Linked DNA regions of Lonchura striata. The protein of the gene in region 1 interacts with the protein of each later gene in a biochemical or structural test. Links are inferred from orthologs where the notes say so. Each region holds a gene or a part of one and is shown on either strand. Other genes may lie near its edges. The genes, in order: ERBIN, MAPK12, SCN4A and ATP2B4.

Region 1 (7,063 bases):
CACATGTGCAAGGCTTTCCTTAGCTTTGATCTTCCAAGCATGGCTCTTAATGACTACGAGTAAAGACTCTCAACAAATTCCGCCAAGAACAAATCATAACACAGTTTTCTGAGACCACCGACTTAATATATTAAGAAACTGTCCTTTAGTATTTTCTCCACAGAGCCCCCTTATCCATTCTATATGAACATGATGTGCAAATTGATACCCTACAGAGCTTTATGCTTACACTAAGTATTATCAACTGTGCAGCTTATGCATAAGACAAATCTATTCATATTTTACTAATATAATTATCATCTTAATGATAATCGCATTCCATAGTATGCCATATACTGCAAATTCTATCTCTTTGATTGCAAGCATTCCTTCCTAAAATTACTGATGTTTACTCAAGCTTAATTTAATTCATGAATAAGAACCGGTCAGGTCAAAAGAACATTTCCCCAAGCCATCAACGCATAGCTATAAAAGTGCTGTTTCAAGCACATGAGCTACTATGTGTAAGGTTAAATAATTTTGTTCATAATAAGAATATCAATGTCAGACTGATTTTTAGTTGCGATCATTGACCTCAAGAAAGAACACATCCCTTCATGTTACTCCCAAATTATGTTAATGCCATAATGGCATTCAATGATATAAGCGTGAGCTGTAAGCAGAACTGAATCACACTTTCGTCATTAAAAAGGGCCTTATCCATAGCTACCATGGTGACAAAACACTAGCGTAAGAAGTTGTGCCTCCACTACAAGGAACCATTCTTCTACACAGCATTGAAAAATATCAAGTGCATCATGAGAGACACAAAAGGCCTGAAAAGAAACAAAATTGCCTTGATTATGAACATACTGGTTTACAACTAAATTTGTCATGCACTGCTACAACTCCTCACCCTCCCCTCAAGAATCTCAAGTCATTATTGGGACTGAAACACTGCTCTAGAAAGGGATGGTTCTTTGTAAAAGGATTACTCTATTCAGACTTTCTGCCAAGCATCAGCCACATAAGGAAAGCAAAGTTCACTGCCACTTATTTTGTCCAGATCTTTCTGATGCCTAAGAATAACCCTTACTGCTGCCTGGAAAGGTAAGTCTATAAATTGCAAGTCAAATAATTTATTAGTTATCAACCACTGAACCCACTTTAGACATTTATATGTTAACATTTTTTCTTACACTATACCAACCAGAAGGAGTTGGATTATTTTTTCTTAAAGCACTAAATTACTCACAATGTTAAAGAACGATACTCCTACCTATGTAGGAGTGTTAAAAATTTTGCACAGAAATTACTTTGTCCAAGACTCCCAAATACCAGTACATGTCACACATTGGCAAGACTGAAGCATACACATCCTATCTGACCAACATGTTGCTTCTGAGTTTGACAAACAGAAACAAACGTTCCAGAGCTACGGTTTCTACCTTGTTCTAAACATTCACAATATGAGAAACTCCTTGCCTCCACGAAAGAACTAACCTATAATTGTCGCTTTGATGCATGAAAAATAAACGTGCATCTAGTTAGTTGGTATAACAAGCACTAGAGGTACAAAATCTTACACTAAAACTTCGCATTTAATTTCCTCTTCAACAGCTTCAAAAATTAGTTCTTTCAAAAATTAGAAAGGTGAAAGTGGTCACCAAAATCAACAAGGCTACATTAACAGCTCCAATTGCATGCATTTTAAAGAAGTCAGACAACTAGCTATCTGCTTTGGTTTTGTTCTGTATTTTGTTTTAAATGAAGGTCCTTAAGATGAACTTTGCCAGGATCAAAATGCAGGATAGACCTCCACTGCACAAACTGAAAAATAAGCAGTCCAACTCGTCGATTTGAGAACAGAAAGGGTAAAGGGGAAGAAGACGGGTGACTGCAGCAATCGAAGGTGGAAAAACTGCGACATTTACGGATGACCAGGAGGGCGTATTTTTATAAAGAAACTCAACAGCAACCCTGAAGAAGTCCGGCCAGCCACTAACCGATATTCTAGAAAACAACTCAGACATAAGCACGAAGCATCAAGAGCTTTCGATTAAAAAGAAATATTACCTCCTTCATGACTTTCTCATTTCCCGATAACTTAATTGTACTCGCAGGGTTACCAAACGTTTTGCAAGGGAGGGAGCTGAAGAAGCAGTTACGCAGTCGAGCAGTTTCAGCTCAGTGCCTTCTCGGACCGAACAAAGAAACTTCTGTGTCCGATGAGATTAAAAACTTTCGGTCTCACACTCTTTCCCGGCCTCCATGAAACCAGCGCCTCGGTTCACACGTTCAGGCGAGACGGTGAGAAACACAATGAGCAGCTAACAGGGCAGGCCAAGGCGGAAAACAGAGACAAAATATAAAGGCCAAAAACAGGATATAAAACGAAGCCTGAACTCCTTGCTTTTTTCTCCACCCCCTTCCCAGAGGAAGGATTTTTCTGTTGTTTTTGTTGCTGCTGATCCCAAGCCTTCCCTATTTACCTTAGGTGTCGGGGCGCCGAAACCAGATCCAGGAGGCAGGAGTTTCTTCCGACCCCAAGTTAAATCCAATCGAGTTTCCTTCTTCACGGAGAAAGAGGGCAGAGAACGGGGAGAGGAGGAGAAGGAATATTAGCAGCTTTCGCCGAGGACGAGGGAGTTCGTGCGCACGGGGAGAGGGCTCCAGAGCAGCCGGGCTCCTCCCGCCCCGCCGGTCTCCCCGCGGCCGGCCCCACGTCGCGCCGGCCCCGCCCGGCGGCGACACCGCAGCGCCCCCACCGCCCGGCGCGGCCCGGCGCGGCCCGGCGCGGCCGCCGCCCCTCGCCGCCATGGGCGCCGCCGCTCGCCGCCGGCTGCGCGCCCGGGATCGCGCTGCCCGAGCGCGGCCGCCACCGCCGAGGGCTGAAGGGAAGCGGGATGGCGCCTGCCTCACCTGCCCGCCGCCGCCCGCGCTCCCCGCCTTCTCTCGCACACTTCCCCCTTCTCCCGCGGCTTCAGCCTCCCGCCCCCCTCCCCGGCCTCGGCAGCGGGGGGCCGGGGGAGGCGGCGGAGCTGTGGGAAGAGGGAATGAACGTCCCGGGCAGACACGCGGCGGGGGGAAGGGGAGGTGGCCGCGGGCGAAGCCGCCGCGCCGCTGCTGCTGCCGGCGCCGCGCAGCGCTGGCCAGACGGGGGAGGCACTGCCGCGGCACGGGGGGCGGGGCGGGCGCGGAGCCGGGCCGAGACCTGGCGGGGGCGGGAGCGGGAGCGGGACCGGGCGGGAGCGGGAGCGGCGGGCGCGCCCGCGCTGCTGTGGCGGGCGGGAGGAGGGACGGGCGGACCGCGCCGGGCTGGGGAAGGCCGTGAGGGACGGGCGCTGCGGCCAATGGGGCCCGCGGGGCGGGCTGCGCAGGAACGCGGCGGGGCGGGGGCGGGCGGCAGCGGCGCCGGGCGGGGGCTGCGTTTCGCCGCCGCGGAATGGCTCCACCCGCTGCTGCCCGGTGTGGGGCCTGTCCCAGTGTGGTTTTGCGGCAGAGCGTCAGTCGCACTGACAAATTCACACCTGAGTGACGGAAGTTTCCTCGTTAGCAGCTCAGCTCCGTAATTTAATGGTTGCACACCCTCTGCAGAAAGCGCTGAGGCGCCGGCTCACGCCATCAGGCGCTGGCCATTGCCCCTTCGTGGCCACCCGACCCCTGCCCCCGCACCTTGTGCTGCCTGACTCGCAGCTACCGAGATCTGAGAGAACGAACACACCCAAGGGAAACACTGACGGCCTCCACCCACGCTTTGGTGTTTGGGTATGGTACGTTAAACTTGGATACAAACAACAACAATTAAAATAATGCCGCCCATATTGTCACAATGTTTCACGTAAACCCTGGAACACTGCTGTACTTTTTCTTCCAAATATTTCAACACTGTCAGTACGTTACAACGGTACTGAAAATGCGTGTTGACTGACAAGAGTCATGTTTGAAAAGCAGGCAGTACACAGATCACACGGCTTTGGTATTGGTTGGGTTTGGATTGCAGTAGTACAGGTGTGATCTGAACAGAAGCAGTGAGTTTCTTTTTAATTTCCTGGATTGTTCGAAATGGGTATTTGATAACCTATTGTGTATGCAATATGCCATTTTAAGTGTCCTGGAGCCTGGAGTTCTGTTCAGCCATAACAGAGCACATGAAGCTGACAGCAGGGTGGAATTGTGCATGCTGCTCACCTTATGCTCCTTAATTGTGCTCAGCAGAGACCAAATCTGAGGAGAGGGGTAGTTTTGTTTTCACACTAATTTAATCCCTGGCTACTCTACTGGGACTGCCACCAACTAAGATGGAGTAGTGTTTTATGATGATAATCGGTTTACTGAGAAATTGGCAAAATGCTAAGAAGTGTTATATGAGCCATTGAACAGCAAGGGAAATGCTTTGTCATGTTACTATTGACCTGTCCCTGATTTTAACATAGGACTAGATGAGAAAAGTCCTTTACACCCCTACCAGTCCTTGACAGTAACTCAAATTGATACTTCCTGTTCAGGATCGTTCTTTGCTTCATCTATTTTCTTACAGGGTTTTGAATGAAGGGTTTAACCTTTAGCAACAAAACATAAAGATGATCACATTTTTATGAAAGTCCACTGTGTTTAAGACATTGTGTTCAACAATAGTTATTAATTTTAAACTTCTTGCCTATATATGGGAATTGTACGTTCAAGTATCCAGCTTGTATCCAGATCCAAAAAATAAGCATGCATTCCTACTATGATAATAATACTCACTTACCGTTTCTTTACTTTTCTCCACCTTCACAGAGCATACAGCCCTACTTTGGGGACTACATCTCTGCCTAAATTTAAATAATTAAACTAAATCAAATGTAGTCATCAGAGTTTATAAAAAAGAGAATTGTATGTGTATATATAGATATTTTCCAAAACATTAAATCGCTTCTATTTCTTCTTGTTCAGAAAAGCCATTTTCTTCAAATGAGTCAGCTTTGGACTAAGTCCAAGCAAGAGAACTTTACCCCCACTGACAACAGATTTAGAATTTCTCACTACAGTGCCCTGCAGTGGTACCCTACATTGTGTCTATAATAAAACTATTAATTTTTTAAATCTCTTGCAAATGATTGATCATTCCTGTCATGCACCACATAACATATCCTTACCATAATGTGACTAGCTCTCTGCAACTGATGCCCTCCATCATGAACTCTTCAAGGTACTTTCTTATGTGAATTATCACAACTTTTTAATGTGAAAATATTTTTTGGAAGTGTTTATTGCAAATTGCCCAGTGCATTTATTAATTCAGTAGAATAATAGATAGGTATGAGAATAGTAGCTGTTGCTCAGATGGTGAATCTCCCATAGGTGTTAACATTAGTTGCAATGTAAGATGCTGTTTCACTTACAGTTTTAGCCATCAAAATAAAAGCCTTTCCAAAGTCTGCTGAAACTACAGCTAGCTGGAGCACAGCTACTGAAGATATTTTGCATAGACAAGATATAACTATATGTACAAATTAAGAAAATACCAGGAGTTATCCTAGGGATCTAAATGTGCTATAAATATCAAAACAGAGTCCCCAGCAATATTAATTCCCACAGTTGGTATCCCAGTTACCAAATAATTACAGAGTAGGTGCACAAAGTTACAAAATGAGTCTTTCAAGTGAGACTCTGCATCTGATCCCACTGAACATTTAAACAACTCCTGTATACACACTTTCATGCTGGACATGAAGCCCAAACTCCTCTCATTTTAATTTCTATTTTTATATTTGAAAGGAGCACTAGTAAATACTGCAACAACTTGCAGCTAAATCAAAAGAACATTTGGTGAAACAGTCACCTGTATGTTTCTCTCTCAGGAGTTAAGTGGTCTGAACAATTACTACATAGTTTCTTCTGAGTGACAGGGTTTAATTGCTGCTTTCCCCTATTCTTACTACTGTTGTTCATTATGATTGCATGTTTCCACTTTTCTAGGAAATAGATTGAAAGGCCTCTGGGGTAAGCACTTCTGCTTATTAAATGCTCAGGTAATGACTTGAATGGTGGATTTCAAATCGATTTGAAGTGGAACTTCTGGGCATGACTGCAATACAAATATTAAATAATAATTAGTGGAAGTAATAACCACATTAAAGACACGAAGAGGCAATAAGTAATTCTTTTTCTTTAACAAGTATATATTGAAGTTTATTTTAAATATTCCATAATTTAAATTTGCCAAAATATCTTACTGTAGCATTTTCTGAATTTACGTGGTTCACAGCTGGATGACACCACATTTATGCTGGTGAAATTAACACAAAACTGGTATAATTCAGTGGCAATTAAGTCTTAGAAGTGTATTGCTATAACTTCTACATACATAATGCATTTTTACTATATTTAAAGAGAAGCTAAGTAAACAACTTCTGTTCAGTCTAACTTCACTACAATCCCAAATGTGCACTGGCTAAATACACCATACAAATAAGTTTTTTTCTGTATTTGGTTGCTTTGTTTCTCAAACAGTATAATCAAAGTGATGAATTATTATGCAAGTACCAATAGAAAACCTTGGTAACACCACAACCTATGTTTTTTATGCTGTGTTCTAGAAATTATTAGGAACATTTTAGAATTATTTTTAAGCATTATACTGTTACTTTTTGCTTGTTTTTATCTTCCTTGGTTAGCATGGGAGAGCTGGTGATTTCTGAGGAACATTTGGGACATAGAGGAGCATTTCATGTGAAGGAGCAAGGACAAAAAGGTGGTGTTAAGGTACTTCTACGCTTTCCTGATTTGGACTGCTTTGCTCCTGCCCAGTCTGTTAACACTGATTTTAAGCTATGCTGTAGCCTCTTAGCCTAAGGGTCTGTTTTGACAGCTGATGCCACCACATAAATCTTGTGCTGGTGAAAACAAAGAGAAAGGAATGAAAATGAAGCCATACTATGTGAGAACACTGGCATCTGTAGATCATAGCCAAAAATTCTTTGCTGACTAGTTTAAGACAAAGAGTTACAGATGAAGTTGGCAGAAAGAGCCAACTGCAAAGTTGCCTAAAATAAATCATGTTCTCAGTATGTTGCCTATGCACTGATGGTAGTTTTGG
Region 2 (7,643 bases), on another chromosome or scaffold:
CACGTTAAAACCTTTCTTTAGTACACAAACCTCTTCTTTCTGTGGCCCACAGTGTTTCCTAAGATTGTAAATCATTCCTTTCCTTCATATATATTGATTTGTAACTTGTACACATTGTGCTCCGGTTCCCCAGTGAGCATTTTCTTCAGGACACTTTAATTACCAATTGAGCCCACAGGGAAGTTCTAGAGTATTATTCCACAGGGCATACACTGTACAAAACCTGTTAGGAGTGGAAAATGCTACCCAACAGATTATTCTGGGAAATGGAAGAAAAATAATCTCAAAATTCTGGACACAGGAGCTTGGCAACTGTGCAGGCTGCTCTGCTCCCAAATGTTCAGTAAAGAAAACGCTGAGAGTATTAAAGCCCATACACAGAAGTTTCCTGCAAACATTAACTCTTAAACATATGGAGTAGAGGTTATGGGACAGTTACTTTGAAGTATTTAGATAAAAAGATTTAGATTAAAACAAGTAGACAGTTTCTTAAGCCTACAAAAAGCTCTTTTGCCTTCTGGACTGTCAGGATAGCCTACAAATTATTCTTCAAAAGAACCTAGTTGGTACTCACAATATTAGTATTATAAAATTAAATAGCAATGTCTAGTTATTGTTATTACCATTTTCTCTCATGCTTTTGATCTCTCAGTTTTTTGTGAAGGCACTCTGAATGGAGGTATTCTCTAATCTTCCACATCAATTAACATTTTAAACTATGTTCTTATGCATCATTTTAACAATTCCCTCCAAACAAATAAAGAGTTTTTTATCCTATGCATTCTTCATGAAAAGCACTTAAAAATACTATGGTAACCCTCCAAATCCACCCTGGGACTCTTCTCACCTGGAATCCATGCTTTGAGACTCTGTAACAACTGCTTTTGCACAAACTTCTTTATTTTTTTCCTAACTCTTAAGCAGTATTGGGACCATGAATCTTTCTCTCAATCACACTTTCAACATTTCTTTCTACAGCTGTTCTTTCATGTTATATGGGAATTATGTGCAGAATTCTATTACCTATTCTCTGTTTCACAGTAAAGCAATTTGTTTAGCCACTTGTGGACTTTTCCTGTTTCCCATTAATATCAGCCTGAAAGTTTCAAATGCTTCATAAACGATAAAAAGGGAGAAAAAAAGAAATAAAAAAGGAGAAAAATGCTAACCCCGCCTCAGAGATATGCATGTGTACATCTTCATGAAAGCTCAGGGGAACAAAAAAAAAAAAGAAAAAAGATAGAGACTGTAATTTCTGGTCTTTAATCCCTCTCACTAGCACTGAGCAAATTGCACTGTAGTCCTAACCTTCCCCACCCAATTTTTCCTACGTGGAAATTAAGTGGTGTTTCGCACAGGATATTCTAGTTTGTGTGAAGTGATATTTGTAGAACAGGCAGACAAAAAAAACAGGCTAAAAGATTCCTTAATTCCATTCAGGTACACATCTGCCCTGTCCAAATATACATATTTTCTTTGATTTAGAGTGTCTAAGCTGTGGTTTTGAGCTAATGACTCAACTCACGTTTTCATGTTTCATGTGTTTCAGGAGACGCAGTTCTCGGTATGCTCGTTTGGCAAAGAGTTCAGACTGAAACGGGCGGTACAATTTCTTAATAGCCACTTTGGTACCACTTCTTCCATCGACGGCTGAGCTTTAAGGGAAAAGATAGAGTTCGGTGAGCAAGGACCGAAGCCTGTCTGCAAACCCCAGCAGACGCGGCCAGCACCGGGCAGCGGCTGCATCCTGCCGGGCCTCGGGCCCGCAGCCGCCCGCGCCAGCGGGGAGACCGGGTCCCCAGAGCACCTCTGCAGGCAGCCATCGTTTAAAAGCCTGCCAGATCCTGTGATGAAATGTAGACAATTATCAAAAGCTTTAAAGAGGAACATCTGCGGAGTGGGGGAAAATTCCCAAACGAGAAACAAGACAAAAAGATCCCACTAAACACACAAACCCACCACCAACGCAGAGCCAAACTGCGTTTGAGGGGCCCGCCTCAAGCGCTAAAACACCTCGGGCTCCAGGGAGCCGCTCCGGGGTGCCGCGAGCTGGGCTCGGCAGCGCGGCCGGGGCAGCGCTCCCGGGGCCGGGGCAGCGCTCCCGGGGCCGGGGCAGCGCTCCCGGGGCCGGGGCAGCGCTCCCGGGGCCGGGGCGGGGGCAGCGCTCCCGGGGCCGGGGCGGGGGCAGCGCTCCCGGGGCCGGGGCCGGGGCCGGGGCAGCGCTCCCGGGGCAGCGCTCCCGGGGCCGGGGCAGCGCTCCCGGGGCCGGGGCAGCGCTCCCGGGGCAGCGCTCCCGGGGCCGGGGCAGCGCTCCCGGGGCAGCGCTCCCGGGGCCGGGGCGGGGGCAGCGCTCCCGGGGCCGGGGCCGGGGCCGGGGCAGCGCTCCCGGGGCAGCGCTCCCGGGGCCGGGGCAGCGCTCCCGGGGCAGCGCTCCCGGGGCCGGGGCAGCGCTCCCGGGGCAGCGCTCCCGGGGCCGGGGCAGCGCTCCCGGGGCAGCGCTCCCGGGGCCGGGGCAGCGCTCCCGGGGCCGGGGCGGGGGCAGCGCTCCCGGGCCGGGGCCGGGGCAGCGCTCGGGCTCCGCTCCCTCGAGGGACGGAACACCCGCGGCTCGGCTCCCCCTGGCGGAACAGCCCGGCCCGAGGCGGCCAGGTGAACAGCGGGGCCGCCCTTGCACCCGCGGGGCCAGCCCGGGTCCGGACAACAAACGGGAAAAGTTGGCAGGGACCAACACGCCAGAGGGCCGGCCCCGGTAGCATCCCCGGGCCGGGACTGAGGCCGCCGCCCCCGCCCCCGGGCTGTCCCCGCAGCCCCGCTCACCACACGGCTCCGTAGGCGCCGGACCCCACCGGCTGCAGGTCCCGGTAGCGGTCCCGCACTTCCCAGAGGGTCTTGGTGATCTCCTGCCGGTAGAAGCCATTCTTGGGGGAGGACATGGCGCTGCCGACCCCCGCCGGCCCGCGCCGACAAAGAGCCCGGGCCGGGGGAGCGGGAGCGGCGGCGCCGCCGAGCTGGGCTGCGCCGAGGGGCCGGGCCTGAGCGAGCGGCACCGCCCGCCCCGCCGCGCCCCGCCGGCGGCACCGCCCGCCGCCGCCGCTGCCCGGGACCGGCGCTGGGATCCGCGGCTGCCCCGGGACCGGCGCTGGGATCCGCGGCTGCCCCGGGACCGGCGCTGGGATCCGCCGCTGACCCGGGACCGGCGCTGGGATCCGCCGCTGCCCCGGGACCGGCGCTGGGATCCGCGCCCGCCGGCAGCGCCCTGCATCCCTGCTGCCCGGCCGCCTGGGGCTGCGCTCCGCGGGGCGCGCAGGGCGCGGCGTCCCGGCGGCGGCGGAGCGAGCCCGCACACGGGGGCAGGTGCCGGGGCTCTCGCTGCCCGTGCGGACCAAACCCCTCCCGGCCGGCTCTTCCCCGCCACGGGGCCCCCTCACGCCTGCCTTGTTTTGCCTTTGTGCTCAGGTTCCGGTGAGGTGCCATCGCTGGGAGTACCAAAAGTGAGCTTTTGGATAGCCTCTGCCCTGAGACGAACTGATAGGTTCCCAGACCATCCCAGAATGACACTACAAGTTACAACAATATTTCATATAGTTAAATAAAAACCACGCGCTTGGTTCAGGTGCTCAGAGCAAGTGGTCCTGCGCATGGATGAAGTGAACTGGAATTGAACTGTTGCAGCACTGGCTTGAAATTATTGCAGTGTTGGAGTATGGACAAGAGCAACCTTCTCAGTGGCTCTGTAGTAAACAGGCCTGGGCCAGCAACACGTGTAAGGCAAAGACCAGGTTTAAAATAGGTTTTATGTGTTCTCTGTGTGAATATGATTAAAATTCTTGTCCTCCAGTGTCTGGTAAAGCCTTTGGTTTTTTTTTTTTACTTCACCCCTGAGCAATGTTGCTGAGGTTATATAATTTCAGATTTGCTGTCACTGGAGTTCAATTTGTGGTTTAGCTCTAAAGGGGCAATCTGGACAAGTTTCATGGCCATTTTGGTAGTTGCCAGGGGCCCTGCCCTTTTGGTGCCTGACTACCAAATGTGGAAGAGCTGCCCTGCCCTTGCTCCTCCCGGGGTACAGAAGAGCAGAGCCTTCCAGCTGCCAGGTGTTCCAGTGCTGCTCTCTGCTGACCTGTTCGAATCTCTGTGTTAGTGAGAAAGGAGAGCAACCCTCTGACATTTAGCAGTTAACATGAGGCTTTGTGAGAAGTGTTAGATCAATGGTAGATATTTACTTTTAAAAATCCAGGAGATTATTTTTTAATTTGTTACATCCCTTCTATGCTGTTTGCCATTCCGATGTTAGCTGGTGTGATATGTGGTACAGGTAAGGTGAAGGATAAAGTAGCTTCCTCTTTTTTCAAACTAGACCATTAGTTAAATTACTTTTAATTACCATTTTATATGTTTCTAATAGAGGCAGGATTAGTTTTGCTTGTCATCCCTCACCTACTTTTCCTTGATCTAGTTGTGACAAAGTGGTACTTTTTTACTGCTTGCTTTTTATCAAGGCAGAAATTAGGTTATTTTGATACAGTAGATAAAAGTACTAACTTAGCATCAAGAGAAGTTCACTCTTGTGCAGAAGCTAAGAATATTACAGAGCAACTTTTAAAAAACATTCTAAATGGACAAAGTTATCCACTTCTGGTTTTCCCATGTTTTTCCTTCAGTAAATATGTAGGCATACTTTGCTACAGATGGATGAAGTAGCTGTGTAGGTCAAATATAAGACCAGCTTTCCCACCAGGTCACACATACAGGAGATGAGCTGGTAAATTTACTGAAAAGACTATGAAATCAGCACTGTTGTAACAAGGGAAGCTTTGTCTAATAAACCATTCAAAATCTCTGTGAAAGGAATAAGTCAAGAACTTGGGTCCATCCACAGCTGGTAGATGTTAGAGCAGTGTCACAAACTGCATGAGTCTCTGCATCCTGCTAGGCTCAGCTGGATACGTGGTGACGTGTTTTCCCAAAGACAATTTGTTGCCAGGGGACTGATAGATGCTACAGCCATATCTTATTCTGGGCAATGTGTGCTTGACAGGATGGATTTAAAAAAGAGTGCTATCAGATGTTTCTACTTCTGGCATACATTTATTGTAAAGTTAATAGAAAAAAGGAACTTCTTCAGACATCATTAACAAAAAATAATAAATGCATTAATGGTGCAAAAATTGCACTTTGCTAATGTTCATCCTATAAAGGGAAGATTTAAGATGTATCAGAATGTGGTGGGGTTTTTTTAAGAGTCAGCTTTTGATGTGCTGGATGGTTGCCATCAGCTGCAAAGCATATGAGGTAGATGGGATGGGTACAGTACTTTTTCTAATCACTCTGGGAACTGAGAGCACAATTTCCCTCCAGCCTGGTGCTGGAGCAGAAGCTCTACAAGCAAATAGTGAGAAATCGAATAGTTTTTCTGAGAAATCCTACATTTATGAAGTCTGGTGAGAGAGTTTGATGGCAAAGCTGCCACCATAAGCTGTCACTGGGAGATGACAAAATGGCACAGACCTGTTTGTCAGGAGCTGAACTGTGGGTGAGCTGCTGGGCCCTGGGTGCAGGGAGAGGGGACTGACACTGATCTCCAGACCAGGCACTGATAACGTGCAGGAAAAGAGATCATACAAAATCCTTTGAAGAATCAAACATCTTCCCACCTTTCTGCCTGTTTATATGTCTGTCTTTCATATGATCATTTTATTCTTGATACACTAATTCACATATTAATAATTTGGCTGTGTAAAACATACCTTAAATGTCAATAAACAAAATCTTGCTGAATAGTCAAAAGCTGATTCCTAGAACATTATTTTTTAAAAAAAGTTTTCTATATGCCCACCTTCAAAAAATACTCTGTGCTTGTCTACTTAGATCTGTTGCCATGGAGGAAGTAAGTTAATTCTATTTATTACAACAGGAAGTAAAGTTTAAAAAATAGTAATTAAAAAAAATCTCAGTTTTAATAGGAAAATATTCTTGTGCTATTTTGTCCCCACCCTTCCCCACTGGAGTCACTGCCAACTATTTTGCAACTTTTCTGATTTTGTCTCTCTGCTCAATGAGCAGGGTGTTTCAGTTCCAGTTCTGTAACATGTAGCCTTCCTGGGGGCCTTGCCATGTTTCAAGGTCACTAAGCCATCAGAAGAAAGGAGTAAATAAATATATACACCTAAGTGCTTTTTTATTTTAAAAAATAATTAGAAGTATACATTACATTTTTTCAAGAGGTCAAGTGAGACCTTACTAGTAACTATATACTACCCCATTATCCCTGCTTCTTGGAGGTTGGTGGAGGAAGAGAGGCCAATTGTAGAGGGTAGTAGACACCTATATGAAAATCAACTACTTTTAATGCTCTCCTTTTCCTCCTCAGAATCCACCAAAAGGTCCTCTCCTACAACAGAAGGATTTTAATTTTTAAACTGTCACAGATTGTTGCAGTATGAGACGCTATAGTCTACAGAGTAAAAAAAAAAAAAAACTTAAAGAATTTCCCAACCTCAATGCAAAAATCGTATGAAAAGAGCATTAATGGATATCACTGATAGATAGCTTTACTCATTTAATATGTGACAATAATTGGAGCTGGGGGACTATGGGAGTGCAAAATGAAGCATTTGTATGTATGCAAGATTGAAGCCTAATTGAAGAGTTTTGCTCATTGAAATTGAGCAAAATTGAAATTTCTGGTCTAATGGATTAAGTCTCAGATTGGTTGGAAGATCAGTGTTCAGAAAGCTCACGATATATTCTGTCACTGTAGTGAAAACTTAGACCCTTTTAGGTGTATCAGTTCAATATTTTATTTTACAGCAGAAAGAAGGGCAGTGGCAGCAACACTAATGTAGCTTTCTAAATCTCTTGGTACTAGTGCCTTAAAACCCCTTACCCAGAGTCATAGATTAATGAGCCTTGGTACTCTCACTTGTGCTAGTGTGCTGATTTTCTAAGAACCAGCGTTCGCATCCATAAACACTATCAGCAGTAGCAGCAATGTGTGAGAAAAAAGCAGCTGCTCTTAAAGCAAATGGAAGTGTTGCTATTAATTCTTTCCTAGGGAGACTGATCTTGTCAAGGTTGAATCCCTTTCTGCTGCTAACAAAAGACATCGTTTACTCAATCGACAACACAATTCTCTTTTCATGAGGGCGAAATCTTTAACACTGCTCATCTGTCAGGGATTCTTGGGCCAAGTCAGTAATTTACAGATGTAGCAAAGGATACTAATTTGTGCTGGCAGCTCTGTATGGTACTTTTTGGACAGATTCATCTTTGATCAGGTCCCAAAGGTGGGTAAAGTGGAGGTCTGTTTTCTTGTTATGATCCAGGAGCACATGTGACAGGAAGAAAGGAAGGAAGTAACTTTTGTATTGACTGCTTCCCACCTCTGTCAAAGTTTCTTTTGCTGCCAACATTTTGTCCTTGAAAGGGTTGTTTCCCTCCTGACCCTTAGGGTGAGCTTGCTGTGTCAGATCCTGCAGCACAGGATCCTGACCCTCCTTCCCTCTTGCTTTCATCTGGTATACCACGTCAAAAAAAAAACAAACGCCAAGAGCACAACCTAGAATTCTGCCACAGTGCTGTCTAAATTATGACTCTAGCTATTGATATTGACGTATTTATTTTCATATATCAGTATTGATTAC
Region 3 (7,198 bases), on another chromosome or scaffold:
GAGATCCCATGGGAGGGCACTGAGAGGAAACAGAGCCCCAGAGCTGATTTAAGGTGAGATGGGAGATATATATTCCAATAAAAACCCTTCCAGAGCCAGTACATCCTGAATGATGAGGAACCCTCCAGAGGAGCTCAGGAACTGTTAAATAAATCCCTGTCTGCAGCCAGGAAGGGACCAGAGGTGAATAGAATCCCTCTCCATCATCAGTGAGGATGGGATGATTGCAGGGATGAGACAGGAGCAGATTGAGCAGGATTGAGGATGCTCAGTGGGAACACCTATTTTCAGAAAACTTTGAAAAACTCTGGAATTGCACTTCCATTTGCAGATGGCGTTTTGAGGTGATAAATGACCCCAAATGACCCTCTGGGGTTTGCTGGGCTTTGAACCCCATGGGACTTTGAGGCCCCTTCAGGACAGGAGGGGACTGGGAATCACCCTCAGCCTGCAGGAAAGGTTTTCCAAAGGCTCCCAGCACGGACTCCACCCTGCAGCTGCTAAAGATCGTGGAAAGGGATCTTAAAGTGTTGAAACAGACCTTAAAGCTCATGGCAGGGAAACCTCCCGCTGTCCCAGGCTGCTCCAAGCCCCCTCCAACCTGGCCTTGGGCACTTCCAGGGCTCCAGGGGCACCACAGCTGCTCTGGGTATCCTGTGCCAGGGCCTGCCCACCCTCGCAGGTGTTACAGTGAGCTCATGGACACTCTGTGCCCCCTTCCCCGGGACCCTGCGACTCTGATCAAGATAATCCTGGACCCCTCCTTTCTGCCCCAACGGGGTTGGCGGAGAGCCAGGGAAGCCCACCCTGTCCAAAGTCTATATAGACCCCAGACATTTCCTGTTCATCCTCTTTTGCCCCGCTCTCCCCTTGGACACCACAGAATAAAGAGAGCTGAACCAACATATCAGGGGTAAGAGCCTCTTTTGGAAATCTTTGTCATGTCCTGATATTCCTCCCCTCACAGCCTCGGACCTCTGGGCTAGCCTGATTATTTAGGGGGCTGTGTGAGGGGGAGAACGTAACGCAAGGAGGAATTTCTTCCGAAGACCGTCACCTTCTCAGGGATTTTTTCCACCCTGGACGATCCTGAGGCTGTGTTCGGGGGTTCTGGCTCTAATACCCGCATCCTGCCCCAGCACGGCCGCAGTGCCGCAGCCTGGCACGCCGCTCGCCCCGGTGTCCCCGCGGTGCCGCGTGTCCCCGCAGGCCCGGGCGCTGTCCGGGCACGGGGAGTTTAGCCCGGAGCCGGAGGGTGGCACTGCGGCCCCGCGGCAGCGGCGCGGGCAGCGCTGGAGCGCGGCGAGCCCGCGGGGCGCAGCGGGGCGACCGCGGCCACGGCCCGGCTCCGAGAGCCCCAGCCAGTGAGGAAAGGGTCACCCTGCTCGGGGCATAGAGCCGGGACAGCCCGGCAGCCCGGGCAGGTGCGGGTTAACCCGCGGCGGGGCGGGAGCGGGCCGAGCTGGGGCGCGGTGCCTGGGGCTGCTGCCCGTGCCCGCCTTCCCCGACCTCCGGACCTGCCAGGACGCCCTGCCTGGCACAGAGGGTGCCCTGGGCTTCCATCCGCTCCTTCATCCCGCCCCGGGATGCTCCCGGCTCTGCAGCTCGGGGAACTGGCCCTGCCCGGGTCTCCCCTTCCCCTGCCTGCGTAGGGACCGGCAGAGCCCCGGGGACACGGCAGGGACACCGCTGGCAGGAACTGGGGACAAGGGATGGAGGGACAGGACCCAGGCAATGGCTCCCACTGCCAGAGGGCAGGGATGGGTGGGAGATTGGGCAGGAATTGTTCCCTGGGAGGGTAGGCAGGCCCTGGCACAGGTGCCCAGAGCAGCTGTGCTGCCCCTGGATCCCTGGCAGTGCCCAAGGCCAATTTGGACAGGGCTGGGAGCAGCCTGGGACAGTGGAAAGTGTCCCTGCCATGGCGGGGGTGGGGGTGGGTGGTTTAAGGTCAGTCCCACTCCAAACCATTCCCTGATTCTGTGATCCTGTGGTGGATCCAGCACCACAAGCCAGGGCACCTCAGATGTCCAAAGCTGGACTAAGCATGGCCCTAATTCCACCCTGGAAACCCAAGGACACGTTTTTCCACCCTGATCAGTGTGGTCAGTACCTCTCGGTGCCCCAAGCTCCCATTCCCATTGGAATTTCCTCGGTTTTGCAGGCAGAACTGTGCCCATGTGCCCCGCTGGGGACCCTTGGTGTCTCCACATCGCACGGGGCAAGAGACACATCCAGGGTTTCCAGACTCACTCCAGGCCTGCTCATGGTCTGGGAGAAGCAAAAATGGACCTGTGCAGCTTGAAAAGTCTCTCTGTGGGTGACAAGGTTGGGCTTGGGGCAGCTGCTGGGAGCCACCAAACATCCCCTGAATTCCCCGCTGTGACCAACAGAGCAAATGGAAAGTCCCCACAGGCACAGCAGGAGGGTGTCCCTGTCCCTGCTGTCCCCACCAGCCAAACCCACTGACCCTGGGATGCACAGGGAATGCTCTGTGGCCCTGGATCATGGCTTTTGTTCTGCTGCTCAGCCCCCAGTGGGCTCCTGTTGGATTAAGTCTTTTTCTGAGTTGAGAGGAGTTTTAAAATCTTTTATTCTATTTTCAGTCTCTTGTGAATAGAGGTCAGAAGCTAACTGTCCACAGGCTCCCAGTGCCAGCCACGCCTGTAGCCACCCCTGGGAGCTGCTCTGGGCTCTTCCTTCCCTCCTCCTGCACCAGTTTTCCCTGGAGAGCTGAAACAGCTCCGGCTCTGCCTCATTCCCACAGCCTTGCACAGGACAGGAAAATCGTGGAGTCAGAAGCAGAACCAGTCCAAGGACCTTCACTTCCCAGCTCCCTGGTCAGGGCTGCAGGCCTGGCCATGGATGTGCTGATTGTGGAGGGTGCTGGAGGGGACAGGGGTGAGGGGCTGGGCAGGAAGGGGATTCCCATGGCATTCCAGGCTGGCAAAGTCAGGGGCTGCAGCTCCACTGAAGCCACCCAAACACCTGGAAGTTTCTCCAGGGTGTTTTGGGACTGGAAAAGCAGAAATTAATCACAGGAACAGTGGGTTTGGGGAGGTGATGAACCCCTCTGACCAGGCTGAGTGCTGGGGTGGCTGCTCCACCCCCAGCACAGCCCTGAGCACCCCAAAAGGGGTGACCCTGCAAGCTGAGTGCCCCTACACCCTCTCCTCCAGGCCCTGGGGGCACACCGGGCACCCCACGGACCCCAGAAGTGCCTGGGCTTGGCAGAAGAACCCAAAGACCCCATGAGGAAGCACAAAGAGGGGACAACCCCACTCAGGCAAATCCCTGTTTCTGCGTCACCCCGGTTGTGGCTCACGGGGTCCCCGTGGGCAGGACACGCGAGGGACATCCCCATCGGATGCTCCTGGGATGTTCTGGTGCAACAGGGTGCGAGGAGGGGACAAAAAAGTTACAGACACTCCTGGTTTGCCAGCAAGGGGAGGAGCGTGGCCGCTCCTGGGCTCTGAACAATGGGAACGACGCTCCCGGAGAGCCCCGGGCTCGGGCACAGCGCTGGCAGCGGCCTTGGCGCCGGCTGCCCCCCCGCCCTCGCAGTTGTCCCGCTGCTCTTTCCAGCGCCTGTCACTGCCGGGGAGGCGCTGGCCAGGGTCGCTCCCACCTCCCCCGCCGCTCCCCGGTCCCTTCGGCTGCCGAAGCGGGCGCGGAGCCGCCGCGCACCTGGGGCCGATGGGGCCGGAGGGGCCGGAGGGGCCGGAGGGGCCGGAGGAGCCGAGCCGGTGGGGCCGGAGGGGCCGGAGGGGCCGGAGGGGCCGGAGGGGCCGGAGGGGCCGATGGGGCCGGAGGGGCCGATGGGGCCGGAGGGGCCGATGGGGCCGGAGGAGCCGGAGGGGCCGATGGGGCCGGAGGGGCCGGAGGGGCCGATGGGGCCGGAGGAGCCGGAGGGGCCGATGGGGCCGGAGGGGCCGGAGGGGCCGATGGGGCCGGAGGGGCCGGAGGGGCCGATGGGGCCGGAGGAGCCGGAGGGGCCGGAGGGGCCGATGGGGCCGGAGGAGCCGGAGGAGCCGCGGCCGCCCCGGCCCCGCCGCCAGCCTGACTGGCGCGGCGCGGAGCGAGCGCCGCGGCCGAGACGGGCCGGGCTACCTGAAGGACCCCGCGTGTCCTCAGGTTTCACTCATGACCATCTGACAGCCGCGGCAGCTGCTCTGCCAACTCGCCGAGCCAAAGCCTCCAGGAGTCGAAGGAGAGGGAGGTTCTGGCCCTAAAAAGTCTCTCCTTGGGACTTCACACTCTCCACCCAACAGTGAGTACTGGGGTCAGCCCTGGGCTGCTGCCAGGCCGCCGGGCAGGGCTGCGGGGTCCGGGATGTGCCCGGCTTTGTCGCTGTCACCGTGCCCGGAGCGGTACCGGCAATGTCCCGGGATTTACGGTCCGAGCGCTGGAGGCGGGCGGGCCCAGGATGGACTCTGCTGGCTCTGGGGGGTGTTCAGGGCTGGAGGCACCTGCTGGACCCCCCTGCATGGAAAACTGTCCGGGACAGGGGACAAAGTCCCCACGAAGGTGCAGGCAGGGCACGGGGAGAGGGTGGCAGCAGCCAGCGGGGCCCTCAGTGGCCGCAGGGCTGTGTCGGGATGAGCGGGGACAGCCAGGGACGTGGCGGGCAGTGGGCTCCCGAGCCACCTTCCCCGTCACAGTGAAGGAGCCACGGGCAGAGCTCACAAGTCGCAAGGCTCTTTTCTCCTGGCTTCTCCTCCTGGAGGTCTAAATATAAACCCCGGCCTGGGCAAGCCAAGGTTGCAGGAAAGGTCTGCGAGTGCTCCCAGTGTCTCCTTTCGGGAGCAGCCCTGTCCCCGCAGAGCCCCCGTGCTCCGTGGGGCGGCAGGGGGGACCCGAGGGCAGAGGGGGCGGTGGGACCCCTGTGCCGTGGGGCAACATCGGGGTGGGGTGGCAGGGAAGGGGAGGCTGTCCCCACACTGGGGCTGTGGGCACACGGGCACAGCAAAAGGGTGCCAGGATGAGCCCAGGGTGGTGTTCAGAGCTGGATCCTCCATGGCAATCAGGCAGTGCCAGGCTGGGGTTCAGCTCGGGGTTTTGGGTGCTGTATCCCCCCTGTGCCAGCTCCCATCACCCGCTGCATGGGCAGGGCCCGCTCTGCACGCCCAGAGCCCTTTTGGGGCTTGTCCAGGGGCAGTCAGCCCCCATTCCCCCTTCCCCCACCCCCCATCCCCCATTCCCCATTCCCCATCCCTGCAGAGGGAAGTTTGCCGAGGAGCAGAAACATTTCCTGCCCTGCCCTCAGGGCACTCACTGATGGAGCTGTCAGGGATCAGCTCGCAGCAGAGGAGGGATGGAACTGCCGCTGCCAGCTAGGGACAACAATTCCACAAAGCCCTGGGGACAGCAGGACATCCCAGTCAGTCCTATTGTCCCGGGGAGACCCTGGATGGGTTGATGCAGCGCTGGAGCTGCCCCCTCTGGTTCTTTCCAGGAAAAATATTGGATTTATAATGGTTTGAGGGGGAAAGAGCATATTTACAGGAAGGGGTTAATGAACACAAAGTCTTGCCTTGACTCTGCTGTGCTAATATTTAAATAGCGTTTTGTATTTTCTGACATGCACAAAAGGGTCCAGTCCAGTTCAGCATTTTGCCTGGCTCTGTGGAGTCGCTTGGGCAGCTCCAGCTCAGCTCAGGGAAATTTACTGGATTTGGTGTAGGAGAATGAGTGGCCGAGCCATGAGGAGACGCCCAGCACCGTTTCTGTTTGCAGCAGGTTGGATTAATGAGGTGGATTCTGTGCAGGGCAGAAAGGGGAGAAGGTGGTGGAGGCTTTGGGAACTTGTGAGGGGAAAGATCCCAGTTTGGCTCAGGAGAGAGCAGGGAGGATGCTCAGCCTCCGTGCCTGTGCCTGTCCTGCTGTCTCCCTCCTGGGATCCATAAAATCCTGAGAACCTCTCATCTTTGGGTCTCCTTCTCAATTTCCAGGTGGATTTGAATGAGATCCCTCGGGCTGTGGGGCTCAGCTCTGTGACAGCTCCAAGTGCCCCGTGCTGGTCCTGCTTTGCAGGTGTCTGCTCCAGGGAATTGGCATCCAGAGGCTGCAAAGGGAAACGGGGCATCTTCCAGCCCTGGGAAGTTGCAGGGCTCCCAGTATTGCCAACCCCATGGGAGCAGCAGGTCTGGGACCTGCTCCTGGTGCTGTGCTGGGGATCCCTGCAGGAGCTGCTGTCTCTCCTGGCATCCCCCAGGGGTGGGGGCATCCCCCCGAGCCTGGGGGACAACAGGTCACTGCAGCCCCACGCCACTCTCCCTTCCCCCTCACTGTCCCCTCGCTGCCTTTCTGGCACGGCTCAGATCTTTTCCAAGCCTGACACGGGAGCTGCTGGCAGGGAGGAGCTGCAACTCTGGATGACACCCGAGTGCAGGGTGGGCAGTGGGCAAGAGCAGGGTCCCCACTTTAACCCTTCCCTGGCTGCTCAAGCCTCCAGCACTGCCAACTCCCCCCAAAATAACCCCGAGCCGCCACCCAGTTGTGGCGTGTGTGGGTGTCCCCTTTCCAGCAATGCCCTGTCCCGCAGCAGGGACAGCAGGAGTGGGGTTGGGGTGGCATCCCCGGCTCCAGGCAGGAACGGGTCAGTGCGTGGCTGCAGGATGGTGCAACCTCCTATTTCCATCTGTGGCCGGGGAGATCATCCCAGGATTTCACAGCTCCTGGGCTGTGTGTGCCGCCCCCACTGAGCACAGCAGGTACAGCCTCGGGGCACCGAGCCCCAGGAGCTGCAGGGCAGCAGCGATCCGGGAACCGCGGGGCATTCATTCCCACGGGTTTGATGCTGCTGCAGGAGCGGAGGTGCCTCTGCAGAGCTGGATTTTTGGAGCTGATGCCCCTGGAGGAGCCGTGCCCCCTTGGAAGTTCAGCACGGAGGATTTGGCTTTCCAAAGGAAGGCAGAGCCGTGATGGGCTCAGCTGAGCCTCTGAAAGGAGCCGGAGGAGGGAGCAGCTCCGTTTGTGGCAGGTGCAGAGCCCCCGGAGCAGTGCAGAGCCCACGGAAGGTGCTGCTGGAACGGGACACAATTCCAGTGGAACTGTGCATCCATCCTGCTCCACGGAAATCCCCAGTGCCAGCACAGCTGCGGGGTGTCCTTGTCCCGGTGCACACCAGGCTGCAGAGGTTTGGCTGCCAGGAAAAGGCTGGAGAGTGTGGAGGGCTCCTCTCTGCTCAAGACAGGCAAAA
Region 4 (6,868 bases), on another chromosome or scaffold:
TGTCTCCCCGCCGGGTCTCGCTGTCCCTGCCCGGGCTCTCCCGGACCCAGCGGGATGCCCGGGCTCTCCCCGCAGGTTTTCCGGCTCCTTTCCCAGCAGGGCGCAGCCGTGCCCGGCGGGGAGGAGCCCTGGGCGAGGAGGAAGCCGGAGCTGCCAGCCCAGCCCGGCCCAGCCCTCGGCCGGGCCGTGCTCGGGGAGCAGCAGCAGCGAGCGGGTGGCGGCTGCGAGTCCCCCCCGGCACCGCAGAGATTTGGGTCCCCAAATTCCCCGCAGGCTCCAACCCTGCGGGAAAACTCCGCTCGTGGCCTAGCAGGGAGGAGAAACAGGAATAGAAAAAAAAAAAAAAAACTAGAAGAAAACACATAACCCGAGAGAGGAGCGGGGAACGCGCGGGGAACGCGCGGCCCCGGCGAGGGGCGGCGGGGAAGGAGCGGGCTCGCCTCGCAGGGCTTGGGGACAAGGGGAAACTCCAGGCTCAGCTCCACCCCGGAGCTTTCGACTGCTAAACAATAGTGGAGAGGAGCAGGCGTCCCTCCCTGCTGCTCTTACTCATCCTGCCCAAGGAGCCGTGCCACCCTTGGGCTGCCCCCGCCCTGCCCGGGGGCTCGGGCGCGGCGGCTCCCGGCTCCGGAGGCGCAAGGCTGGGGTGACAGCGGCAGATTCCCCCGGGAAGAGATGCGGACCCACGGCACGCGAGCGGCGAGCCGGCAGCGCAGGGAATTCCCTCCGTCATCATCGCCAGCGGAAAAAAAAAAAAAAATACAAAAAAAAAAAAAAAAAAAAGGAAGGAGAAAAGAAACCAACACCCAACAACAGAATGCGCCCTCTCAAACCTCTCTACCTGCAGCACTTCTCAGCGCTTTTCCAGCCGGGAAGGAGCCGGGGTAGGTAGGACGGGGAGCGGCAGCCACGGCCCCGCCGGCGGCCAGGGCGGGCCGGGGCCGGAGCCCGCGGGGAACGCGCGGTGCCGGGGCCGGAACGGGGAAGCGCTGCCTCCTCCCAGCTCCAGCCGCACCATCCCGGCACCGGCACCTTCCCCGTGCCGCGGCCATCCGCCAGCCCAGGCGATGCAGCCGGGCCTCGGGCACTCACAATTTGGCCTCCAAGCCCACCCAGCGCCCACCTTTGAGGAAGGGTCCTCCGCCGCTCCGATCCGAAGGGCACCTCCAGCCCCCCCGAGCCGCCAGCCTGGCCGCACGGAGGGGTCCGGGCGGTCACCCGAGGGGGCAGCCGGGGAGGGAAGCCCAGGGCCGGCGAGGGATCCCCGGGGCGCGGCGGGGTGGGGCTGGCGGAGCGCGGGGGCGTCAGCCTCGCTCGCTCATGATTGAATAATTTAGGTGCGTTTCAGTGCTCGGAAAAGCGAAAGATTGAGGGCAATGTCTGGAGGCAGGCAGGGCGCAGGCAGCGGTGCAGCCCCTGCCTTGCCCACGCAGCCCAAGGGGTTTGGGATGGGGGGCTCACCTCGGGGGTCCCCCGGCCCCAGGACGGCTCTGGGTGCCCCATGGCGAGCTCCGAGCACTCACCTCCACCCCGGCTCGCTGCCCTCGGCTCCTGCCCGTCCACCCACGTCCGGGGCTGCCAGTCCACGGCCACGGGCAGAAACTGGCTGCACTGGTTTGGGCTTCGCAATGCAAACCCCCACCCAAGCTCAGGTCTCCAGAGATAAGAGCACAATAACCTATTGTCCCTCCTCCCCTCCCAACATCTCCACTCGCCTCTGGCGAAGCGGGGAGGGACCACCCAGCTCCGCACAGCCCCCCCCGCCCCCGCCGCCGGCAGCCCACGGGGGACACGGACCCACCGAGCCAGGCCAGGGATGCTGGGAGGCTCCGGAGCCGGGCTGGGATGCAGCGAGAGCGCTGGGGACAGAGGCAGGAGGAGGCGGACGAGGCCAGAGCCTGGCCGAGCTTGCAATAGATTTCCTGATTTATTTTTTAATTTATTTTCCGCCTCCCCACTCCTGTTTTCTCTGCTGTGGCTCTGCCCAGCTGGATTGGTGCAGGCAGGAGGGAGACGTGCCCAGCCGTGGCGTGGGCAAACCCCCCCTCCCCTCCCACGCACCTCCCCACCGCATCCCACCCTCCCCACGCGCCCCCCACCCGAGTCACCCCACTCCAGGCAGGGAGCAGCCCCCTTTGCTGCCCCACGCGTGGGGGAAAAAAACCACCCCAAACCCACCCACGCAGCACCTTCCCCGCTCTGTCCTTGGGCTGCCGCAAGCCCCCCTCCCCTTCCCCCGCCTCTTCCTTCCTCCATCATCCTCATCCTCCTCCTCCCCGCAATGCCACAACCCGCTGCCTCCCAAAAAATCCAGCAACACGCGCGACCGGGAACCCCGCACCGTCCTCCCCCCCGCACACACACAGCCACCTCAAGGGCGGGCAACAAGTTGTAGGATCCGACCGGAGCATCCTCCCCACCCCAAAACCCGGGGGGCTGCCGGAGTTACCCCCCCCACGAGAAATTTGGGGGCTGCACTCCCCGCAGCCGCCCACGCCCCGGAGCGGCCGGACCGCGGTCACCCCACCACCCCACCCTTCTCCCACGTGGGATTGGGGTCTGGGGGGGGGTCCCACACCGACCCCCCCGTGATGTAGAACCCACGGCGAGCCCCCCCATCCCACCTGCTGCACCGGGACGGAGCGGGGCGGTGAAACCCCCGCTGCCAGCGCCCCACCGCCCCCACGGCGGGGGCGGCGATGCTCCCACCCCCGGCCCCGACACAGACCCCCGCTCCGCAGCCACCCCACGCCACTCCCGTGCGTCCCCCCGCCGTGTCCCCAACACCTCAAACCCCCCGCGGGACCCCCGTACCCCCAAGCTCTCGGGGTCGTGTCCCCCCCACCCCTTGCACTCACCGGCTCCGGTCCCACGGCGCCCGGCTGGCGGCGGAGCCCCCGCGACTGGCCATGGGCTGGAGGGGGAGCGGTCCCGGAGCTAACGGGAGAAAATGCTTGTCATGGCAACCCCCCGTGCCGTGCGGGGCCGTGCGGGGCCGGGCCGGCGAGGGAGGGGACGGCGGGCAGGGAGGGGGAGGGCTCGTCCCAGCCCGCCGGGGGAGGGGCTCCCTTAAGGTGGCTGCACGCCCCGACGGCCGCTTAAGGGGGACGGCGACAGGAACGGGGTGAAGGGACCAGCGAGGGGGGGACAGCGGCGTGGGGGACCCCGAACATGGCAGGAGCCCACGGGCAGAGCGGGGGGTGCACGGCTGGAAAGGGTGGGGGCACCCCCGGGTAATATCGGGGACCCCCAAGCACGGTGGGGACACGCTGGTCAGGGTGGCAGATGCACCCCCAGAAAGAGGGGAGACTCCCCCGGGCAATGTGGGGACACCCCCGGGTAATATCGGGGTCCCCAAGCAGGGTGGGGACACGCTGGACAGGGTGGCAGATGCACCCCCAGAAAGAGGGGAGACTCCCCCGGGCAATGTGGGGACCCCCCCGGGTAATATCGGGGTCCCCAAGCAGGGTGGGGACACCCCCAGGTAATGTGGGGACCCCCCGAGCAATGTGAGGACCCCAATGGGCAATGTGGGGACCCCCAGGTGCCACCCCAGGTACCCCCAAGCAGTGTGGGGACCTCCCCGGACAATGTGGGGACACCCCCGGGTAATATCGGGGTCCCCAAGCAGGGTGGGGACACCCCCAGGTAATACGGGGTTCCCCAGGCAGGGTGGGGACACGCTGGACAAGGCAGTGGGTGCACCCCCAAAAGGGTGGGGACACCACTGGGAAATTTGGGCACACTCCCTGGGCGATGTGGGGACACCCCTGGGAAGAGTTGGGGACACCCCGGGGCGATATGGGGGTCCCCAAGCAGGGTGGGGACACGCTGGGCAGGGAGGCAGATGCACCCCCGGGAAGAGTGGGGACACCCCTGGGCAATGTGGGGACCCCACCCTGAAAGCAGATTGGAGTGTGCACCCCCAAAACCTGTGGGGACCCCCCAGGGCAGTGTGGGCACCCCAAAAACCGCTGGCACCCTCATGCCCAGCCCCCTCCCCACTCCGGCCGTGGAGGTGGCAGAAGGAATTCTGTGACCTGGGACAAAATTGGGGTTTTTTGGGGGGTTTTAGCACTTTTGGGGTGGCTCTGACCCACCCTGTCCCCTCATAGGCAGCACAAATTTGGGGGTGCTGACACCTTGAGATCCAGCACGCCCAACCCCCCCACCCCAAATCCCACCCTCGCCCCTTTTCCTAAAGGAACCCGGATAAAATTCCCCATGGAAGGATTCCATGCAGGGCTTCGAGGGGGTTCCAAAAATCCCCTCCCAAATCCCAGTTTGGGCTCCAGCTGTTCCAGTTTAACCAGTGCAACACCCCTGCGGCCACAGCCCCTCATTAGCCCTCGTTAATTAGCCCCTCATTAGCTATCCCAAGAGGTTTGGGCCTGCACCTCGGGAATTCCACATTGCCAGCCCTGGGAATTCATTTCCACCCCATTTTCCAGCAGAATTCCTCCCTCAGCTCTCCGGGATGGACCTTCTCGCCCAGCCCAGCCGATCCAGGGGATTTTTTTGGAGCTGGGAATGTTTTTTTGGAGTCACCCGAGCGACATCAGAGCTGCCCGGGTTGGATTTCATTCCATCTCCGCATCCTTTGGAGCACGACTGTGAAAAATGCAGATTTTGTGATTGGCTTTTCGCAAATGGCACGAAGAATATTATGTGTGTAATGTTAGAAAGTGATGCTGTGCTAATTCTCTTCGGTAGTGTGTTAAATGTACTTTTAGGTTACAACTTAATGTTAAAATATAGACTATGTATGTGGGGGAAGTTGTTTTTTTATTTTTTTAGGAATGAGATACTCGCTTCAAGGAACACCAAAATCTTCTAAAAGAGAAGAATTTATGGCTTCTTATCAGAATAAGCTTAATTTCTTCAGGCCTTGCTCAGATCGAAGACGCCCAGGGATTAAAGGAAACAACTGACATACAACAGACAGAGTTTGTTTTAAATAAAATATATGCATAACCATGAAGGATATATGAATATGCAACAAGTGGATTGGTTTAAGGATGATTCTTTTGTTCACAAGTCATGCTTTTCATGACTTAAAGCACCCAAACATCCATAATTCTTTGCTTTGTATTGTCTTGTATTGTCCTAACTCTAAACTTTATTCCTCTAATTGTATTATTATTTTTATAACCATTTTATTATTATCGAACTTTTAAAATTTTAAAAAAAACAAGTGATTGGGCATTGTTCGCAACCACCTTTGGGAAGAGGAAAATGCCCTGGGTTTGGAATTCCTCCTCAATTGCTCCTTGGGAGTTTCCAGGGTTATTCCTACTGAAAATAAAACATATATATAAATTTATTTATTTATTTATTATGTATATATGTATATATGTATATATGTATATATGTATATATGTATATATGTATATATTTCTAGATTTATAGGTTTATAGATTTATAGCTTTATAGATAATAAAATATAAAATATTTCAGGGCTGGGCATTCTCATGACAAAGACTCAAAAACCAAACTCAGGCCCCTTTCACTCACTCCACGTTTGCCCGCCACACACAAAAAAATGGGAATAAACACAGGGATTTTTATTCCTCCACCAAAATCTGCCAGCCCTGAGCAGGCTGGTTCACAGAACAGCTTGGAAAAGAGGTGTTGGAGCAGCTGGCAGGCACGGCTTCCCATGCAGAGCTGCTATTGAGACATAATGGCCTTTTCCAACAGGTTCTGGGAGCTTGGAAGGAATCTCTGACCATCTGGATTTGGGCTCCTGGAAGGAAATCAGCCTTCCTGCCCCAGGGAAGCCGTGTGAGCAGGAATTTGCCGGGAATTTGCAGCATTGGGTTTGGGTTAAAAAGGGGAAAAACAGGTTTTCCACCCCAGGGTAGCGGCTGCGGGAGGGAGCAGCCAAAATCCCGAAATCCGTGTGGGGAAATGTGATTTTTGAGAGGCATGAACGGCCCCAGAGCTTCTTCCAGGCCACGTTTAAGGAGAAGAACATGGAGGAGAAGGAGCAGGAGCAGGAGTATCACCTCCAAGTCAGCACCGAGCTGTCCCCACGAGCTGCAGATGGGAAAAATTCCTTCACAGAATATTTTGGGACCCTCTGTGTTGGTCTCTGCTTCCCTCCTGCTCCACTCACCTGCTCCTCCCAGTGGCTTGGCCACCCCCGGGGAGGTGACAGAGGTGTCCCCACGCTGCTCGCACTGGGACAGGCTGGATTTGGGGTGGCACTGGGGACAGGATGGTATAGGCTGAAAGAAGAGACAGGCTGAATTTTGGGTGACAGGCTGGATTTGGGGTGACAGGCTGGATTTGGGGTAATGATGGGGACAGACAGATTTGGGGTGATGATGGTGACGGGCTGGTATAGGGTGACAGATGGGACAGGACGGATTTGGGGTGACAGCAGGGACAGGCTGGATTTGGGGTGAATTCCAGGGTGGATCCCTGGGTGGATCCCTGGGTGAATTCCCAGTTGGATTCCTGGGTGGATTCCTGGGTGTATTTCCAGATGGATTCCCAAGTGGATTCCCAAGTGGATTCCCAAGTGGATTCTTGTGTGGATTCCTGGGTGGATTCCCAAGTGAATTCCCAGATGAATTCCTGGGTGAATTCCCAGATGGATTCTTGGGTGGGTTTCTGGATGGATTCCCTGGTGGATTCTTGTGTGAATTCCTGGGTGGATTTCTGGATGGATTCCCTGGTGGATTCTTGTGTGAATTCCTGGGTGGATTTCTGGGTGGATTCCCAAGTGAATTCCTGGGTGGATTCCCAAGTGAATTCCCAGGTGAATCTCCAGTTGGATTCCTGGGTGGATTCCTGGGTGGATTCCTGGGTGGATTCCTGGGTGGATTCCTGGGTGGATTCCCAGGTGAATTCCTGGGTGGAT

The links.
Region 2: the proteins of ERBIN (region 1) and MAPK12 interact in a test that uses a peptide from one of them, tested with the Homo sapiens proteins (2 studies listed by BioGRID and IntAct). The link is inferred for Lonchura striata from reciprocal best matches to the Homo sapiens genes ERBIN and MAPK12.
Region 3: the proteins of ERBIN (region 1) and SCN4A interact in a test that uses a peptide from one of them, tested with the Homo sapiens proteins (2 studies listed by BioGRID and IntAct). The link is inferred for Lonchura striata from reciprocal best matches to the Homo sapiens genes ERBIN and SCN4A.
Region 4: the proteins of ERBIN (region 1) and ATP2B4 interact in a test that uses a peptide from one of them, tested with the Homo sapiens proteins (2 studies listed by BioGRID and IntAct). The link is inferred for Lonchura striata from reciprocal best matches to the Homo sapiens genes ERBIN and ATP2B4.

The regions. Positions count from the first base shown.
Region 1 is NC_134642.1:27,979,479-27,986,541, forward strand, and holds the start of ERBIN (erbin), read right to left. Parts: upstream 3,018-7,063; 5' UTR 2,902-3,017; intron 2,705-2,901; exon of another isoform or gene 2,553-2,704; 5' UTR 2,472-2,552; intron 2,310-2,471; 5' UTR 2,056-2,309; intron 1-2,055. UniProt on the Homo sapiens protein: Acts as an adapter for the receptor ERBB2, in epithelia. By binding the unphosphorylated 'Tyr-1248' of receptor ERBB2, it may contribute to stabilize this unphosphorylated state.
Region 2 is NC_134607.1:30,007,323-30,014,965, forward strand, and holds the start of MAPK12 (mitogen-activated protein kinase 12), read right to left. Parts: upstream 3,021-7,643; 5' UTR 2,934-3,020; coding exon 2,818-2,933; intron 1,656-2,817; coding exon 1,526-1,655; intron 1-1,525. UniProt on the Homo sapiens protein: Serine/threonine kinase which acts as an essential component of the MAP kinase signal transduction pathway.
Region 3 is NC_134627.1:1,945,076-1,952,273, forward strand, and holds the start of SCN4A (sodium channel protein type 4 subunit alpha), read left to right. Parts: upstream 1-4,189; 5' UTR 4,190-4,267; intron 4,268-7,198. UniProt on the Homo sapiens protein: Pore-forming subunit of Nav1.4, a voltage-gated sodium (Nav) channel that directly mediates the depolarizing phase of action potentials in excitable membranes.
Region 4 is NC_134632.1:2,837,505-2,844,372, forward strand, and holds the start of ATP2B4 (plasma membrane calcium-transporting ATPase 4), read right to left. Parts: upstream 3,008-6,868; 5' UTR 2,859-3,007; intron 1-2,858. UniProt on the Homo sapiens protein: Calcium/calmodulin-regulated and magnesium-dependent enzyme that catalyzes the hydrolysis of ATP coupled with the transport of calcium out of the cell. By regulating sperm cell calcium homeostasis, may play a role in sperm motility.